Struthio camelus: one gene and its partner. The protein of the gene in region 1 interacts with the protein of each later gene in a pairwise test. Links are inferred from orthologs where the notes say so. Each region holds a gene or a part of one and is shown on either strand. Other genes may lie near its edges.

Region 1 (8,976 bases):
TCCCGTATGTGCGATAGCGTATACTTTGCCTCAGTGGGCCTGAGATGACTCTGTACCACCACGGCCGTTCAGGAGAGTCCCGCAGACTTCAGCAGTGCTGTCCGCTCTTTTATGCATGTGTCCTTAACACCGAGCAGGTTGGCACTCTCTGCCAGCACCGCTTGGTGCCCTGAGCAACAGCAGCGCCGTGCACAGAGGCCTCTGATGGCCGATGTACAAGCTTGAGGGGAAGAAAGAATAGCAATTCTTCCACAGGAGGCCACCAAAAACGTCCTCAGCTTCAAAAATCGGCTTTATTGTGCCACTAACAGACTTAGATGAACTGAAGATGACATGACACTTCTGCCTTCCCAATTTCTGAGTGCGAGATTTCAGCATGACTCACTTTTGCAAGCAGTAACAGCCAGCTGTACAGAGCGTATTTCTCTCTTAAGAGACAGACTTTTCATTCTTGTGGGACTACAGGCTGTCCTCGCACCACTGCTTTGGGAGAACCAAGTCTCACCAAGCTTACATTAGCTTCCGTACCGCGGTACAGGGTCGTCTCAGTACCCTGAAGTGCTGCCAACTGCCGGCATGGCACAGCTCACCATCTAACTTCAGAGATGGAGAAAGGGATAGTACCTAAACTTCTGTTTGGGTCATGCATTGCCTCTTGTGGACACCCGCATTTACGTAAACCTTCAAGGAGGTTGAACGGGCGCCTTGCCAAACATTATTCCTGATGGCAGGAGACCTTCCGGGCAGAGGGTTGGCGCCTGCTTTCCAGCTCACTGCCCGTTCGGAGAGGGCCTGAACACAGGAAGGAGCTAACTGAGCCGTAAGATCAACTTCATAAGTGCCTCTTTTAGGTGAGCGATGAATAACCAAAGGATTAGTCATTGCAGGATCGCTCTGTGCTTGTGACTGGATCAAGGGAGCTTGAACGGACCCTACCGTGTCCGAGCCTCTCCGGTGGGTGCGCTGTGCGTCAAGCTGCGTAACGCGACGCCCCTCGTCTTCCTGGCGCTGGTGTGTTTTGGGGCACAAACTCTCCATCTGCCTGATGGGACTGCCCAGTGCTCAGGCCAGGCCCCTACCGCTGCTGGTTGGGGCTAGTTTCCCCGCCAGCGCCGGGGTGCAAGAAAAACCTAGCTGTAACTGCGTCCCGCGACTGGCAAAACGAGGGGATGTGTTCAGTCCCGAACAGCGATAGCAAGTAAATGCCGTCTTCTGGATACGCTTGGAGAAAGAGGTGACCCTCCAAACGGGATAGCCAGGGTAATGTAGGCTTGTTAAATAGGCGACGTGCTTTTCCTGGAACAGAGGACTGTGGCGTCAACCTTTATAGTAATTTAAAAGCTACTGTGCTCTTTTTAGTGAGGCCAAACTGACTTTTAAAATTGTTAATTATCGCAAACCCAAGAATCTTTTCACTGTGTGTCACTGTCAGCTTCATTAGGAGTAAATGCCTCAGACACACCACTAGGGGGAGGATTTTATCTATATTTTAAGTTAGTACGGCACAGACGTTATGAAGCTGTATTTTGAGGATTTTTGAGGAAAGGGAAAGAGGGGTCTTTATTTCTTGTTACTGGAACACTAGATAAACTCTGCCTCCATTCCCAGAAGCTGTGCTTGAAATCAAAAGTTAACACTAACTGTAGGGGAGAAATCCAGGTGTTTTGCTTATGAAACAGTGTTCTGCAACCTAAAGACCTCAGTAGCTTACCAAAAAGTTAAATGAATTTTTGTGGTCTAATATAGCCTGCAAACCTCCCCTCCCCCTGAAACCACTGTTTTCTTTGGTCTTAGGGGTTTATTTGATTTTTTTTGGAGGAAGAAAACTGCTGACAGTTTGTACCTTTTCAGTTCTAGTACCATCTGAAATACTGCTTAGTACTACCACAACGCTTCGAACAACGTCAGAACTTAAATCGTCAGCAAGCTAAGCTGCAAACACATCGCTCTGGCTTTCTTTCTTCCAACCCGCAGCCTAAAAGTGCGTGGGAAGCTGGATGTCTTACTGGGATTTCTGGGTGTGAGCTGGCTCTGTTGCTGGCTTTGCCGAAGTCCCAGATAAGGTCAGGACGGCTAAAACGTCAAAGCTGAGTACGCTGCTTGGCTAAAGAGACGGCCTGCTATGCTCCTTCCAACCAGAGCGAGTCTACGATTCCATGATTTACATACAGACGATTAGCTTTTTATTAAAAAAAAAAAAAAAGATAAATCAACTTTTTTTTAGTGAACTGGAAATGGTTGGGAGTAGCAGAGGAGAAGAATGAAACATCTGTAACAATGCTCATACTCTGCGAGTAAGAATATGTAGTCTGCTTTCAGCACGCCTGTGAAAAATGAGTGTGGCCTTTTAAACTCCTGCAAAAGGAATGCAGTAGCATTGCGATAGAGTCACTCATAATACTTATTCCCAGTGTTTTGTCTTCCGAATGAAGCGCTCTTTGGATTGCAGATGTCCTATTGAGACAACAGCAACACTGAGTTTATCAGAGGATGTCAGCTATTTCAGCTGCAGTAAGATGTTCCTATATCTCGCTATGCCTCCAGGAAATTTCACAGCCAAGCAAAGCGATGATCGTGAATGCCGCTAACTCTAAAGGAGCGTGAGTGTCTGGGGATGCGCACGTGTTTTATTTTGGATCAGGACTGTGTTTACAGGGAAAAATCTCTTGATAGTCCTTGGCCTGTGCTTTGATGTGTACTGCGGAGCAGCCGCTGAGCACGTGAACTGGATTTCTTTCGGGTGAAACTGAACTCGAAGGTGTGCTCTAGCCTGCGCCAAACGCGCTCCGGCCACAAAAAGACGTTCAGTCCCTGGGCTTGGATGAAAGCTGGTCTGAAGTTACGACCCCCTGAGGCGCGTAGGGAGCGGGCGCCCGGTCCTCAGCCCCAGCCGCTTCGCCCCGCGGAGGTTGCGCCGCTTGCAAACGTGGACACAGCCGTAAGATACCAGAAGGAAAGTGAAGCGACTCAAAGGGTAGTCCTTGCGTTGGCCAGCCACAGCTGCACAGCGATAAGGGCCCTGCATACACGCGAAATACCCTAACTGGGGCTTCCTGCTCTCCCTGAAAAGCGTCTGTGTGAACATGCGGACGCGTTAGCCACAGCCTCTGACCTTTGCGGGTCGGGAGCCGGCTCTCCACGGCTGTGAAACTGCAGAAGACCCAGTAACTGGGCTACGAGAGCTAAACCTAAGAGCTGGCACTACCTCTGTGGGCTTGTTTCGCCCCGTCAACTTTCCCACAGCCGCTGCTGGGACTCATTGCACTGTCCACATTACAGACGCTGCCAACAGGTATGTAATCCTGCCATTAGTCGTCCGAGAGCAAAATATGGTCGTCATTCTGCTGGTAAGAACCGGCGGCTTGCCCGAGGTCAGGCAGGAAAAAGGTCATTGTTTCCTCTCATGGCAACTGTAAGCGGGTTGCTGCGTGTCTGGGCCTTTAAACCGAGGCGGACAAATTCAGGCCGCTGAAAACTGATGTCTATCGTCAGCTCCTAATCCTGCGTTCCACCTACCAGTAGAGGTTACGCCATTACCTTCTGGGGACGTGGCTTTTGAATCTAACCAAGCTGTTATTACTTTTTCTTCCCTCTGCCCTGGAACAGCTCAAACTGAGCGGGCAGCGACGGACGGAGCTAGCGAGAGGAAGGCCTTGCAGAGGTGCAGCCGGCGCCCGGCCGGCCGCGCATCCCCCCGACGGCAGCGTCGGCAGCGCTGCTCGCGGCCGCCAGCGCTCGCTCTCTGCCATAGATGGATGTGTGTGCGTGTGTGGGTGTGCGTGCATGTCTGCATATGCATATATACATATATATATTTGTATATACCAACACACACACACATAACTACACGCTTTGCATAGATGTGCACATCTATGCATTGTATGTATGCGCACGTATATATGTTTATGCAATGGATTACAAAGCTGTGCCTGCCACTCTTTCTGCTGTCTCCTTCCCTCACAATCACTTTTGAAAGAGACATGTTTTGTGTATATACATGGGTGCGTGTATTGTATGTACGTGCACACAGAGACGCACATGTATATATGTATACAGAAATACATATGCATGTGTTTGTATGCATATACAAAAAATATATATATAAAAATAAATCACAAATCTATGCCTGACACTCTTCTTGTCTCCTGTTACACTCACAATCTCTCTTGGAAAATATGTATATATGTGTTGTATATACACAGAGAGAGAGAGTGTTTTGTGTGTATATATATATATGCACACACATTTTGTATATACAGGTACGTTTATGTATATTTGTGCCTATACACCTATACCTCTACATCAGCAGTTACATGCACACATCTACATATGCACTTACGTCTTGCCCATGCGTGCACTTAGGCGCAGCAGACACGTATATATTTACCTGCACAGAGCTTATACGTTGCATGCACACGGCCACACGCACAGAGGTGCGCATACGCACTCCTGCATATCGGTTCTGCGTACGCACATATGTTCTGTAATATGCCCAAGCGTCCAAATAGATATAGATATACACACACGCGCCCATGGGAAAAAAAAATATAGAGATATATATATGTACACAAACACACAGGCACACGCACGCCTGCGCGCAGATGCAGCCACCCGTCCCGCTGCAAGCGCGCGGGCGCGCGCGTACGACACCGGCCCGCCCCGGCCCGCCGCCGGTGCGGGGGGGGAGGGGCGGTGCCATGGCAACGAACAGCCGCTGCCGCCGCCGGTGCGGGGGCGGGGCGGTGCCATGGCAACGAACGGCCGCTGCCGCCGCCGGTGCCGGGGGGGGTGCCATGGCAACGAACAGCCGCTGCCGCTGCCGCCGCCGGTGCGGGGGCGGGGCGGTGCCATGGCAACGAACGGCCGCTGCCGCCGCCGGTGCCGGGGGGGGGGGGGTGCCATGGCAACGAACGGCCGCTGCCGCCGGCGGCCGGGCCGGGCGCGGCGGCAGGTGAGTGCGGGGCGCGGCCATGGCGGCCAGCAGCGCGGCAGGGAGCGGGGAGAGGCCAGGCCCTGCTTGGTCCCCGCCGGCAGCAACGCCTTTTGCCGTTTGCAATCCGAAGTATTAAAGGGAGGAACGCCTCGTCTGCCAGCAGGCGTCTGGATGCGGGCCGCTGACGGCTGTGCCGCGTTCTCCTCGGAGCCTTCAAGCAGGGCCGGGGCGGGGGGGGCGGGGAGCAGCATGGCGGGCAGCCCGGCCTGGAAGCGGCGGTGCGGGAGGCTGGGCAAGCAAAGGGCGCCCGGGGTGGTGGGAGCGGAAGGGGCATCGTAATCAAGGCCGCAGGGCTGCAGCGGGTTCGCCCCAGGCGTACATGTGAAATTCAGGAGGCGCCTACAGGGCAGCATTACAGGGAGAGCTCTCCTGCTTGGCTACCTACTGTTTAACTTCGTTCATGACCTGGGTGGTGGGACTGAACGCACCCTCAGGTTTGCCGATGATACGCCTGAGGGCTGTGCTGCCGTTCAGAGGGCCCTCCATGCTGGAGAGATGCGCACGGAGGAACCTCATGGAGCTCAAGAAGGGGCAGTGCCAAATCCTGCCCCTGAGGAGGAACAAACCCCAACCCCCCCCCCCCGACCTGTCAGCTGGGGGCTGACAGTCTGGGAAACAGCTCTGCAGAGAAGAGCCTGGTGGACACCCAGTTGACCGTGAGCCAGCAACATGCCCTCGCAGCACACAAAGCCAACAGCCTCCTGGGCTGTGTTAGGCAGAGTGTTGCCAGCAGGTCAAGGGGGGTGATCTCTCTCCTCTACTCAGCACTGGTGAGGCCACACCTGGAGTGCTGGGTCCATTGCTAGGCTCCCCAGTAGAAGAGAGCATGGACATACTGGAGCAAGACCAGCGAAGAGCCACAAAGATGTTTAAGGGACTGGAGCATCTTTCGTATAAACAAGAGGCTGAGAGAGCTGGGCCTGTTGAGCTTGGAGAAGAGGAGGCTCGGGGGGATCAGATCAATATGTATAAATATCTGATGGGAAGATCTGAAGGGGGAGTGTCAAGAGGATGAGGCCAATCTCTTCTCCGTGGTGCCCAGCAACAGGACAAGAGGCAACGGGCACAAACTGAACCACAGGAAGTTCCCTCTGAACCTGAGGAAAAACTTCTTCACTGTGAGGGTGACAGAGCATTGGACCAGGTTGCCCAGAGAGGTAGTGGAGTCTCCTTCGCTGGAGATCTTCAAAACCCGTCTGGATGTGATCCTGGGCAATATGCTCTAGGTGACCCTGCTTGAGCAGGGAGGTTGGAGTAGATGATCTCCAGAGGTCCCTTCCAACCTAAACGATTCTGTATGTAAAAAGGATGGAGCCAGACTCCTCTCAGTGGTGCCTAGTAACAGAACAAGAGAGTTTGGGCACAAATTAAACAAAGGAAATTTCATCTGAACCTAAGAAGACACCTGTTTACTGTGAGGGTGGTCAAATACTGGATGGAACAGGTTGCCCAGAGAGGCTGTGGAGTCTCCATGCTTGGAGATATTCAAAACCCAACTGGACACGGCCCTGGGCAACCTGCTCTATGTTGTCCTGCTTGAGCAGGGGTTCTGGATTAAACTGTCTACAGAGGTCTCTTCTGTTATATAATATAAACAGATTATAACATATAATAACAGATAATATTCTGTTATTTTGTGATCCTTGTCAATGCCTGTGTCATGTAGGAGTGAAAACTTCACACTGGCTTTCAGTTGCGTTTGGAAATAGCATTTTATTCCTACAGAGCTGTCCGTTTTTTCCATTCCCCTCTTGTCAGTTGCTGAGTCTTAATCACTTTGTGAGAAATACTCCATATGTCAAACAATGACTACCTGGAGCAATATTTTTATAATCAGCTTCCATTTTTCTTCTTGTTGATCTTGTTTTGCATTAAGTTCTTATTACTTGGAAATACTCATGTCAGCTGTGGTCCGTCCAGCCATAAATCATCTCTGCCACCTTTAGCGGAGTGGTTTCTGAAAACAGGAAAGCCTGAGAGGCTTTGCAGAAATTACGTACTGTCGCCGCTGGTAGTAAATATTACAGTGGGGAAAAGGAAGACTGAAAGACAAATCTAAAATATATGATGATAAATCTCTAGCCTATCATTGTGTTGTTTATTCAGGATGTCTTGCCATCAAACTGAAAATGTCATAAAGAAAATCATTCGTGAAATAGGACAAGAATGTGCCAGCAAAGGACAAACTGTTTCTGAAACCTTGGTAGCTTTCATGGTAAGAATAAATTAAATGTTTTATTTATTTTTTGTTATTTCATCTGATTTTTTTTCCAGTAATGCTCATATTTTCTTATGGTCAATAAAATATTAACAAATAAATATATTCTAATAATGGAGCATGTGGATCAGAATTTTCAAACCTGGGTGCTTCTAGCTTGGCGGTCCAAACCTGTTTCTAAGGCTTTCATGGTGTAAAGACTTAATTTTACACAGTATGAATAGTTCCCCTTGAAGTCAGTGAGACTGTTCAGAATGAATGCTGTGAAGCAAGGACATAAATCATTCCTTTGGTGTTAAAAATCAATAAACTTCAAATGTCAAGTTCCTGTCACAGTGCCAAAGCTGGGATAGCTACAGCTGAGACTTTCAGGAGTGATTTAAATTTTGAAATATCTCACTTTCTGATTGCCCAAGTTGAGAAGTTTTAAAGGGTCATTCATTGATATTCAGTATGGGGTCCTAAAAACCTAAGAAAGCATCTCATTCCTCTGAAATGCTTTGTATGTGACTGTAAGGCCCTGGAAAGACTGTCAGTCATGAGTCTTTGCAATTCTTTAAACTCAGAATGAGAGTTCTCTCTCATTTTTCTTCTGTAGGCTGATAAACCATTTTTGTTTTTTTTTGAAAAGGAAACAATCTCATTGTTATCCTTGGAAGACAACTGTATGAATGCTAAAAACTTTATACCCTTTGGCATCTGTTCTTATGAAACACTTTGCAGAGCGTTGCAGAATATAGTCTAAATACATCCACAAACTTTTTGTGTAGAAAGATGGAGCTTCTTTCTTTAGGGATGTCTTAAGAACGCAATTGATAAGCTCTTGATAAGCTTTTATAGGAGCGTAAATGGTTCACAGCAGTATTGTTAGTCTGTCTTTTTTTTTCCTAGATGAAGAAGATAGTCTGGCTTTAGAAAATATGCTGGGCTCAGAAGTAGTATTAATTAAGCATGAAAAATGCTACGAGTGAAAAACTTTCTCATGTGGCTGGCAAAATACCTCCAAGCATGCAAATATTTCCTTATATGCAAAAACACTATGAAATTTTTATCTAAATAGTATTTTTTTAAATGTGCATGTGTAGTGGTGCATACAATACCAACCTGGAAGTGTGTAAACAAGCATGACTGATTTTTATAAAATTTTACTTAGAAAAACATTTTTCCAGGAAACTTGTAAAGGAGCTATATTTAAATATTTCTCTGCAGTGTTTGCATCCCAAGTAGTTAGGTTTTCTTTCCACTTATGTCAGAGTGGAAAATTTGAAATCTGGCAACAGATGAAATGCAGTAATTTTGTTTCATTATCGAAGATTGACATGGAAAAAAGAATAGTAAAGATAATATCTGCTTTTAAAAATTTAGTCAAGTAATTATTTGCACAATTGAATAATCTGAAGTATATGAGTAATCTTCCGGATGGGAAAATTTGTAACTTTCCACTATTTCTTTTAAACCATAGCTCTGTCACAGTTCCTTATGTTCAATAAATGTATAAAGAAATTCTTATGCATTGCACTCTCCAGCTGTTGTTCCCAGTCATTGTAAACCGTTGTTCCTACAAACCTATTCGCTCCCTCCGAAAGTCTCATGAATATGTGTCACTCTAGCTTGCAGTAAAGAAGAGTGATTACAGGAACGTGAACTGTTCATAATTCACAAGGGTAACTGAAATAAAAATGGGAAGAATTTGTTTCAATTGTTTCTTTTTAAGCTAAAGAAATGCTGTCTGCATCTGAGATTTTTTAGGAAGAAAAGAGTATAT
Region 2 (9,163 bases), on another chromosome or scaffold:
ACTGTGGGCTCTCACGCTACACCTTATTGCACTGCACATATTGACATACTATAAGAAGGAGGGTACTTCCAGGTTACGTGCACCTTTGGAATGTATTTCTCCTGTAACCATGTTATTGTGTATATAAGAGCTGAGCTTTGTGGGCTCAAACTGTGGACACGCACAAGCTGATCAACTACATATAGAACTATGGGCACAAATATTTAAATAACTGTTCGTGAAAAAAAGTGCAAGTGAAAAATTCCTCTTCCAGTTTTACAGACCACTTTAAAATTGTAGCCCACATCCTCCCTACTTAACATCCTCCTTTCTGATGCCTTTGTTGACAACTCTGTCTGCCCTCTCCTGTGAGCAGTCTAAGCTGCCGAGCGTTTGTTCTAAAGCAACGGTGCCCTCACTAGAAAGGCACACCAACACAGGACTGGAGAGGTGCCAGGGCTAAGCTAATAAGCTTCGTCAGGCTTAGTAGTGTGGGTTGAGCAGCAGTTAGATCTGGTGGGGTAAGATATGTCTGTGATGGAGACAGAATAAGAAAGAAAAAACAGAGAGAGAGATAGCTGTAGCTTAATAGGAGGCAAGTACTAAGTAACAGAGACCCCCAAAAGGCAGAAAGATAGCAGGAGGGAACCAGGAGATAGGAAGACAATAGCAGGGGTCTGTAGGAGAGTAAAGAGGTAGCCAGAAGAATTTAAGGGCAGTAAAGGGAGAGAAGGCTGAGGAAGTAGGAGGGAAGAGACTAAGAGCAGTGCAGTGTCGAGGAGGATTGACAGACACAGTGGTGTCCAAAAAGACTGAGAAGCCGTATCTTAACTATATCTACACTACAATGTGTATAACTTTTACTATGATAGGTAGATTCTTAATTTTTAAAATCATTCACTCAGACTACTAAAAACTCACAGACAGGATGTCCAATACTGTTCTGAACATTGGGGATGACAACGGAGTAAGCGGGTGATCGGAAGGGATAAATGGCTGCTGGATTTGTAGTGATGATATTCTGAGAAGTGCCGGAAAATACAGTGGAGACAGTCAATGGAAAACGCTTCCTTTTGCCCGGTCGCGGTTGATAAACCCAACCTGTCAGAGATGAAAAAGATGCAGACTTCTCATTTTTGGGATGATCTCTTTCTTTCTGTAAAGCTAAAATATCTGTAATTCTGAAGTATCTAAAAAAGTATGAGTCCAAAAACTGCTCCAATAGTCAATGGCAAAACTCTCATTCATTTCAGTGGGTGGGCAAAAGGGCATTTTATCAGAGGTGGAGTTAAAACGAGCATGTTTGGGCGTTCTTAGGTTACCAATTCAGTTATGTTACCAGTGTAGTTACCATTCAAAAATGTTTGTGAGACAAAGAACCACAAAACAGTGGGGAGTGAAATGGCACAGCTAAGGAAAGCATGTAAAGGAGAATATGATGCTGTACCATGGAGTTTTGGTCTGGAAAAAACAAACGGCATACAAAATGTGGATCTTCCCTAATTGTTTCCTTATCCCCTTAAACCTCACATATACCTGGAGGTTAAAAGATATGATGAAAAATATGATCCGCTAGAAATCCTGTTTACGCTTTGGCAGTAAGGAGTTCGCTTGCCTTTGAGTTACAACACTAACCAAACACTTAACAGACTTAGAAATATTTTTGGAATTTGGACTGAGCAGCTTGGTTTTCTTGGGCAGGCTAACTCTTATGCTACTTTAAAGAAACCCTTTTTTTTGAAGGGTGAAAAGACAGAAGGAAGATTCTGCTCTTTATCTTATGCTTGTTTATGATGTATTAGTCAGGTCTTGTCTACCTGACAAGACCTGAACTAGCAAATGATTGTGAACTAGCAAATTTATGACATCACAGACAGAAAGGATTATGACACGTGATGTTTCAGTAGCTTCTATAAAGAGTGTTCAAAAAAATTCTGCTCTGTTTTCTTAGCGCCTTTTTAATTGAACTGCAGTGTTACAGAGAAACAAATCTGTTAAGGGAGCAAATCCCTAAACCTTTGACAAAAGGCTGAGACCATGTTCCGCACCTTGACTCGGGAATCCCAATGCCACAAGTTGAAGAGTCCCACAATACACAATGCCATTTGTGCTTCCTGTGGCATTTCCCTCTCCTACTTTTACAGGAGTGGATGCATGTGTCACCACAAGCCACCTGGACAGCTCCTTCTGGAGCCTGCGAAACGTTTTAACAGGCCACGTTCACAATAAACTGTGCATCTGGCCATTAGACTTATAAAGCATTGAGAAGAGCTACTATACATGTGGTAGTCTAAGAACGTAAGGAATTCAGAGGCTACGGAGAATGAAACATCATTTATGGATAACTATAAAAAAAATGAATATGCTTTCAGGTACTAGGAATCTGACAAAAGGACCAAATACTTGAAAGTCTACCATTTCTTCCAACTCTAATATTTGCTCTAATGAAAGAGATCTTTTTTTTTTCCCCCATAAATCTTGCCCTTCTAAAGGATTTGGGTAAATAAATATATGTTTACCAGGAAATTCTTCTCTGTGCTTTTCTTTTATTTTCTGAGCTTCGTCATAATAGGGCTTCTTCTGCTCTTCAGTCAGCTTGTTCCACTCCAGTCCAAGCTGAACACTGATTTCTGCATTATTGGCAGTTGGGTTAGCTTTGGCTAGAGCTGGCCGATGAATCCTAGCCCATACCATGAATGCGTTCATTGGACGCTTTACATGGCCACTTTTGTCCTTGCTAAATGGAGTATCTGGTATCCCTATGCAACAAAATGAGGAAAGAAGATCATCTGCCAGGCAATATACACAATATAGGTTACGTTCAATAGTATTTCCAGAAGGTATTTAGCAATATTCAGAAGAATCATCAGAGCTTCAGAACACACAAAACTCAATGCACATTTGGAGAACAGTTCTTAGAAAAATAACTAAGGCTAACAGCATCACTGACTAGCCTCCACTGAAATACTACATAAGGAATTGTTTACGTGACTTTTGTCACATAGCCTTTCTTTTCTGTATGAAACAGAAATGACTGTTAAAAACACACTGGTTTGGATTTCATTTGGCTAGACTGCTTTCTATAATACCTGTGTATTTATAAATTAAACATAATATAGCATAGACCGTATCACTGCAAATTCATGATCACCACCCCAACTATGCATCCAAACCCTAATGATTCAAGGACCAGATCTGATGATGGGATGGCAGTTTAGTCCCACATATTTGCAACTTCTCTGAGGTTGTTGCTGCTGTTTTTTTTTTTCTCCCTCTTTTTTCCCCTCTTTTCTCAGATTTAGATGCCCATTTGCTAGAGGAACCTGTTTCATCAGATGACTGTTACAAGACTCCCAGCTTTAGGTCCTTAGAACCAAAGACTGTATTTGAATTGAGCTGGTGAAATAAACCGCATACCTTTCACAATTGAACTTTAAGAAAGCAGCTTCCTCTATGAGAAAAAAACTTAGAACAGAACTCTTCTACGTGGTCAATAAAGGGCAAGTTTATTAGGCTTTAGGACTTCAAGTTAATTTTAAAAGCCTATGTTTCTCTCTAAAAAAAAAAAAAAAAACTAATCCAGATATTTAAGTGTTCCTCACTTAACGTCTTCGAATTTTCTCAGTGAGAGGTGTTTGAATGCTCATAGATTGAAAAATCAAGCAGATACCTAAACTGAACTTGAAACCACTATTCACTGCAATTCTGTTTAAAATAGACGGAGAGCAAGCAGACAAAACTGTATTGATTTTAGTGAACCACTAGAGAACTTTGTGCTGCTGTATGTTTACACCTTTAGCTGAACAAAAGAGTTGTACAAACAACAGTGTATCCACTATTTTAACTTGTGTTCTCCAACCTGAAAAAACCTGCCAACTGTGTGCCACTTACTGAAACCTTGCAAACTCTAAGCTGTCTTACAATGTAATACCTGCATCGGAGGGCAGCACTGTGAGGGGCACGTTTTTAGTTTCAATTTTTACTGACGGCTCCAGTAAAGACTGCATTTTTAGAGGCACTTGGGTCACTGGCACTTTAGCCACATGGATCAGCTGGGAAGGCGGAGGGCCTTGAAGCTGAATTCTGGTCGCAGAAGGCAAGGGGTGCAGCATCAGCGGGACCGTCAGATCCGCAGGGTGCATGGCGAAGGCTCCGGCCGGCGGAGCCAGGCTGCCATCGCTGCTGGGCTGGGCGACCCCGCTCTGGGGTCCCGCTGCCTCGGCCTCGGCCTCCTCTTCCTCCAGGCCGCCGGCCCCGGGGGCCGCCTCGGCTGGCTCCACCTTGACGGCACCTGCTGGCCCAAGCCCCGGCACCGTCCCATTGCCCCTGTCCTCGGGCACCTTCAGCTCTTTGGGGCCTTCCCGGTCCCCTCCCGCCGCGATGGCGTCTGGGGCCTCCTGCCCGCATCCCCACAGGGCTGCGAGGCACCTCGGCTCGCCCCTCTTCCTGCCGCCGCAGGCCGCCTCCTCCGGCTCGGGCTCCTCCACTTTGATGTGCAGCACCTGGAGGGGCCCCTCGGCCGCCGCCGCCGCTGCCGCCGCCGCCTCCGGCTGCCGCGGCGGCTCCCGGCGGGGCCCGGCGCGGAGCGGAGGCGGCGGCGGCGGCGGCGGGCGGGCGGCGCCGAAGCAGGCGGGCGGCAGGGGGCGCTGGCGGCACTGAGGGCGGGCCGCGCCGCCCGCCGCCCCCCGCTCCATGGCCATGACGCCGCGGCCGTTTGCCGCTTGCGGTTGGTGCGCAAACGCTCGCAACGCCCTCCCGCCCCCGCCGCCCGCCAATGGCCGCGCGCCGCCCGCCCCGAGCGCACCAATGGCCGCGCGCGCCGCTTCTCCCCCCTCCCCCCGCCGCCCGCCTCACAATGCGGTCGCCGTGGAGACCGTTGGCGGCGCCGCCGGGTGCTTCTCCCCTAAGGCCGCTCCCTCCGGGCTCGCTGAGGCGCCGGGCGCTTCGCCGCGCCCCCCACCCCAAATTGGGGGTCGCCTCGGCCCCGCTCCCCTCGGCCATCCCTTCCCCGCTACCGGCACGGCAGCCCCGGGACAGCGGAGGGTTGCGAGCCCCTCCTGCCTACACCCTCCCCGTCAACACCGCGCGTGGCCGGCGCGGAGACCTGGCGGCCCCCGGTCCTCGCGGCACCGAGCCCCGCCTCGGCACAGCGGCCCCACGGGCTGGGGGAGCCTCGAAGCCATGGAGAGGTCCGCCTCGCGGCCCAGAAGGGCTCCTTGCTGCGTCCTCGGAGGGGGGGCCACTTCCGCTTCCGTTCCGGCCATGCTACGGAGCTGGCGGGCCGCAGCGGCCATCTGTACTGCGGGCGGGAGGTGCGTGAGGTGGCTGTGCGGCCGCCGCCTCCCCATGGCGAAGAGCAAGTTCGAGTACGTGCGGGACTTCGAGACGGACGACACATGCCTGCCCAACTGCTGGATAGTGGTCCGGCTAGACGGCCGCAACTTCCACCGGTAGGGGCTGGGCAGGCAGCCAATGGCCGCGCTGTTTGTAGCAGCGCGGTTGCCATGGCGACGCCTCGACCAACGGGCGGGGAGGAGAAGGGGTCTAGGGTGCGTATTGGGGCGGGGAGGGGGGAAGGTTCCTCCTAATGGGCCCGGGAGGTGGGGACACGGCGCCGAGATGCTGGGCCCCGGGGTTGGGCGGGCTCCCCGGCGTGCTGCCGTGGTGTGGGGGGTGCTGGGCCCCAGGGCGCGGTGCAGAGCGGGGTGCTGTGTGCCGAGGTTAGCCTGGCAGCCTGGGGCTGAAGGCAGTGCGCAGAAGGGTGCTGGGCCCCAGGGTGCGGTGCAGAGCGGGGTGCTGTGTGCCGAGGTTAGCCTGGCAGCCTGGGGCTGGAGGCAGTGCGCAGAAGGGTGCTGGGCCCCAGGGCGCAGTGCAGAGCGAGGTGTTGGCTCCAGGGCCAAGAACATGGATTCTCGACATCTTGACTGATATCATGTGACTGGCTATGGGTTCCTGAAGCGTGGCTTCCCTGCTTGAGCTGTGTGAATTCAGTAGGGGCAGTGGTTAGTCCTCAGAAATCCTTTCACCCTCTTCAGAGTGTCTCCTTACTACTGAATTAGGAAGAGTGTTGCTAGCAGGTCAAGGCAGGTGATCCTCCGCCTCTACTCAGCCCTGGTGAGGCCACATCTGGAGTACTGTGCTCACTTCTGGGCTCCCTAGTGCAGGAGAGACATAACGCTACTGGAGAGAGTCCAGTGGAGGGCTGCAAAGATGATGAAGGGACTGGAGCATCTCTCCTCTGAAGAAAGGCTGAGAGAGCTGGGCCTGTTCAGCCTGGAGAAGAGAAGACTGAGGGAGGATCTCATCAATGTAAACAAATATTTAAAGCGAAGGTAACAAGAGGATGGGGCCAGCCTCTTCTCCGTGGTGCCCAGCAACAGGACAAGAGGCAACGGGCGCAAACTGAAACACAGGAAGTTCCATCTGAACATGAGGAGAAACTTCTTTCCTGTGAGGGTGACTGAGCACTGGAACAGGTTGCCCAGAGAGGCTGTGGAGTCTCCTTCTTTGGAGATATTCAAAAGCCGCCTGGATGCGATCCTGTGCAATGTGCTCTAGATGACCTTGCTTGAGCAAGGGGTTGGACTAGATGATCTCCAGAAGTCCCTTCCAACCTTGGTCATTCTGTGATTCTGTGAGACTGGTATTTGTCTTTCTGGGCCATATACAGCTTAAGAAGTGTGGCATCTATGGGACGATAGGGTATAACAGAAATAGTATAACAGTGGCTTGGATGGGTTGTGGGAAGGACTGCAACTGGTAAACAGGAGTATTTATTTGTGTGTGGAAATGATCTCTGTGAGATTCAGCTTTCTTCAGGATCAATGGGTCATGGTTCTCTTGAGTGGCGGATGGGCCATATTCTTGCTGGGGTTTTGATCTCTGAAAGTTGTTCTTCCAGATGGTGGTTTGGTGAAGTCTGGTTCTGGTAAAGCTCTTGAGTTTTGACAATTGACTAAATGTTGCCTTTGTTGGACAGAGTATAAGAGGCACCCTGGTGCAAAGTGAGGTTACAGAAAATGTTATTTGTTATCTTCTTATTCCAAGTAAAATAGGGAAAGCAGTTGTTTTGAAAGACTATTATATAGTTAGGATAAGATACTGATGGGAAAGAGAATGGGTTATCTGGGATATATAACCACGGTTTATTGTTACTGTTGTTCATACCTGGAGGGAATTCTCTGTCAGTATTGACAGGATACTGGAAGTCAATATTCATAGAAAGTAAATGTGATGAAAATTAATGGGTTAGCATTTTTGAGTAGCTTTTTAAAGGATTCTTGTTCAACCATTTTTGCTTTGAAGGTTTGCTGAGCAACATGAGTTCAAAAAGCCAAATGATGACCGTGCTCTTCATCTGATGACCAAGTGTGCCCAGACAGTGATGCAAGAACTGGAAGATATTGCTATCGCTTATGGACAAAGCGATGAATACAGTTTTGTTTTCAAAAAGAACAGTAGATGGTTTAAAAGAAGAGCAAGGTATCAGCTGCTTTGATACCAAGAAGTGTATTCACTTTTAATACTTCTCTCTAAATTTGGAATTTGTTGATTTTCCTTAGATTTGCTTTCATCTATATGTATAGGTTCTGTATAGGACTGTATTTGGGTGTATCCACTGTAAACTAGCTCTCAGGTTCTTCATGTGAACTCTTTGCGTGTGATCTCCCTAGAATATATGTTCAGTGATAAAGGATTTTTTAAAAGTTTTGATTAAACACAACTTCTTTTAACAAAATGATTCCCCTTCCAAACTCTTATGTGATTCTCAGTACTTCTTAGTCTTCAAAAGACTCTATGCTATTGCTGATCTGTGCACCGTTATTTAAGAAATTCTGCCCCCCCCCAAATTATTGTTATTGATAGCCCAGATAATCACCAATATGTATAATCACATTGATATATTGCTTTCTTTTTCTGTTTGCTTTGTGTTTGCAAGTAAGTTCATGACTCACGTGGTCTCCCAGTTTGCCTCAAGTTACGTTTTCTATTGGAAGGATTACTTTAAGGATCAGCAACTTCTGTATCCACCAGGTTTTGATGGACGAATTGTGTTGTATCCCAGCAACCAAAACTTAAAGGACTACCTCAGTTGGAGACAAGCAGATTGTAAGCATTTTTTTAAAAAAAGTAGATTTACACAGTTGAGTTCTTCTTTCTGAATACGAATGCCCTTACTGCAAGTGTATGCATGTATGTTACCAGTGAAAGAACATCAGGTAGGGGAAGGCATAGTTTTAAATAAACTGTTAAAATTGTGCTAGGATTTGTGTGGAAGCAAAAATGAAGGCTAAAGTTCTGAGACCTCAGATTATATTCATTACACGCTGGGAGTGAATTTGGTACTGGAAATACTAGAATTATTAATAGAATTCATTTGTTGTTGTTGTGTTTATTTAACCAATATTATCCTCTTTAACCGAGAGATGTGACTGTTTGAATTAAACTTCACCATGTAGCAAAATCATAGCAGTCAAGAGCACTGTATATTCCATGCTGTTGGGCTTCATTTCTAGACTTCCGTTAGTAGCTAGTCCTTGTTGGTCAATTATTCATAAACACCCTTCTCTCTCTGTTCTCCCTTTCCCACTTGTGAAGTATCATGACAGCAATCTTCTGGTGGTTCTTATGATATACAGTACCTTAAAAATGGATCAGAAAGATATAGCTTCTGCAGATACTGATATTATTAATGACCATTTATTACTGAGTATTTCCTGTACGTGACTCTGGCAATGAAGTTGCTTTTTTCTGAGTAGTCGCTCAGATTTGGTAAATGCTCTTTCCTTCTTTTTCTGTAGGCCATATTAATAACCTTTACAATACAGTGTTTTGGATGCTTGTACAACGAAGTGGTTTGACACCAGTACAAGCACAGGATAGACTTCAGGTAAGACTCTTTTGAGGTCGTGTTGTTCTAGGTACAAACCAAATCACATCATTTGCTAAGCCACGTCTTGCCTACCCAGCAGCCCTGGCCGTCTTTTCTATTCTTACTGTAATAATTTCATTGATGTACGTTCAGCAGCTTCCTCTTGAATTGTACAGATGTTAATATGATTAGCGTGTGGCATTTTAGCTAGAGTGTTACTTGGTTTTTCATTTCATAATTATTGAATTCAGAAATCCTAAACACTTTAAAGAAACATCCATTATCTTTGAAGAAGAAATAAAATGGGAGGAT

Evidence for each region.
Region 2: the proteins of CFAP206 (region 1) and SOX30 interact in binary tests that used the Homo sapiens proteins (3 or more experiments, as listed by UniProt). The two-hybrid records come from large-scale screens. The link is inferred for Struthio camelus from reciprocal best matches to the Homo sapiens genes CFAP206 and SOX30.

What each region holds. Positions count from the first base shown.
Region 1 is NC_090944.1:49,190,407-49,199,382, forward strand, and holds the start of CFAP206 (cilia- and flagella-associated protein 206), read left to right. Parts: upstream 1-4,801; 5' UTR 4,802-4,895; exon of another isoform or gene 4,896-4,951; intron 4,952-7,099; 5' UTR 7,100-7,100; coding exon 7,101-7,208; intron 7,209-8,976. UniProt on the Homo sapiens protein: Essential for sperm motility and is involved in the regulation of the beating frequency of motile cilia on the epithelial cells of the respiratory tract. Required for the establishment of radial spokes in sperm flagella.
Region 2 is NC_090954.1:11,107,918-11,117,080, reverse strand, and holds the start of SOX30 (transcription factor SOX-30), read right to left. Parts: upstream 4,266-9,163; 5' UTR 4,122-4,265; coding exon 3,911-4,121; intron 2,739-3,910; coding exon 2,499-2,738; intron 1,081-2,498; coding exon 901-1,080; intron 1-900. Other genes in the region: THG1L (probable tRNA(His) guanylyltransferase), read left to right, coding at 5,161-5,429, 7,285-7,461, 7,919-8,088, 8,781-8,869. UniProt on the Homo sapiens protein: Acts both as a transcriptional activator and a repressor. Binds to the DNA sequence 5'-ACAAT-3' and shows a preference for guanine residues surrounding this core motif. Binds to its own promoter and activates its own transcription.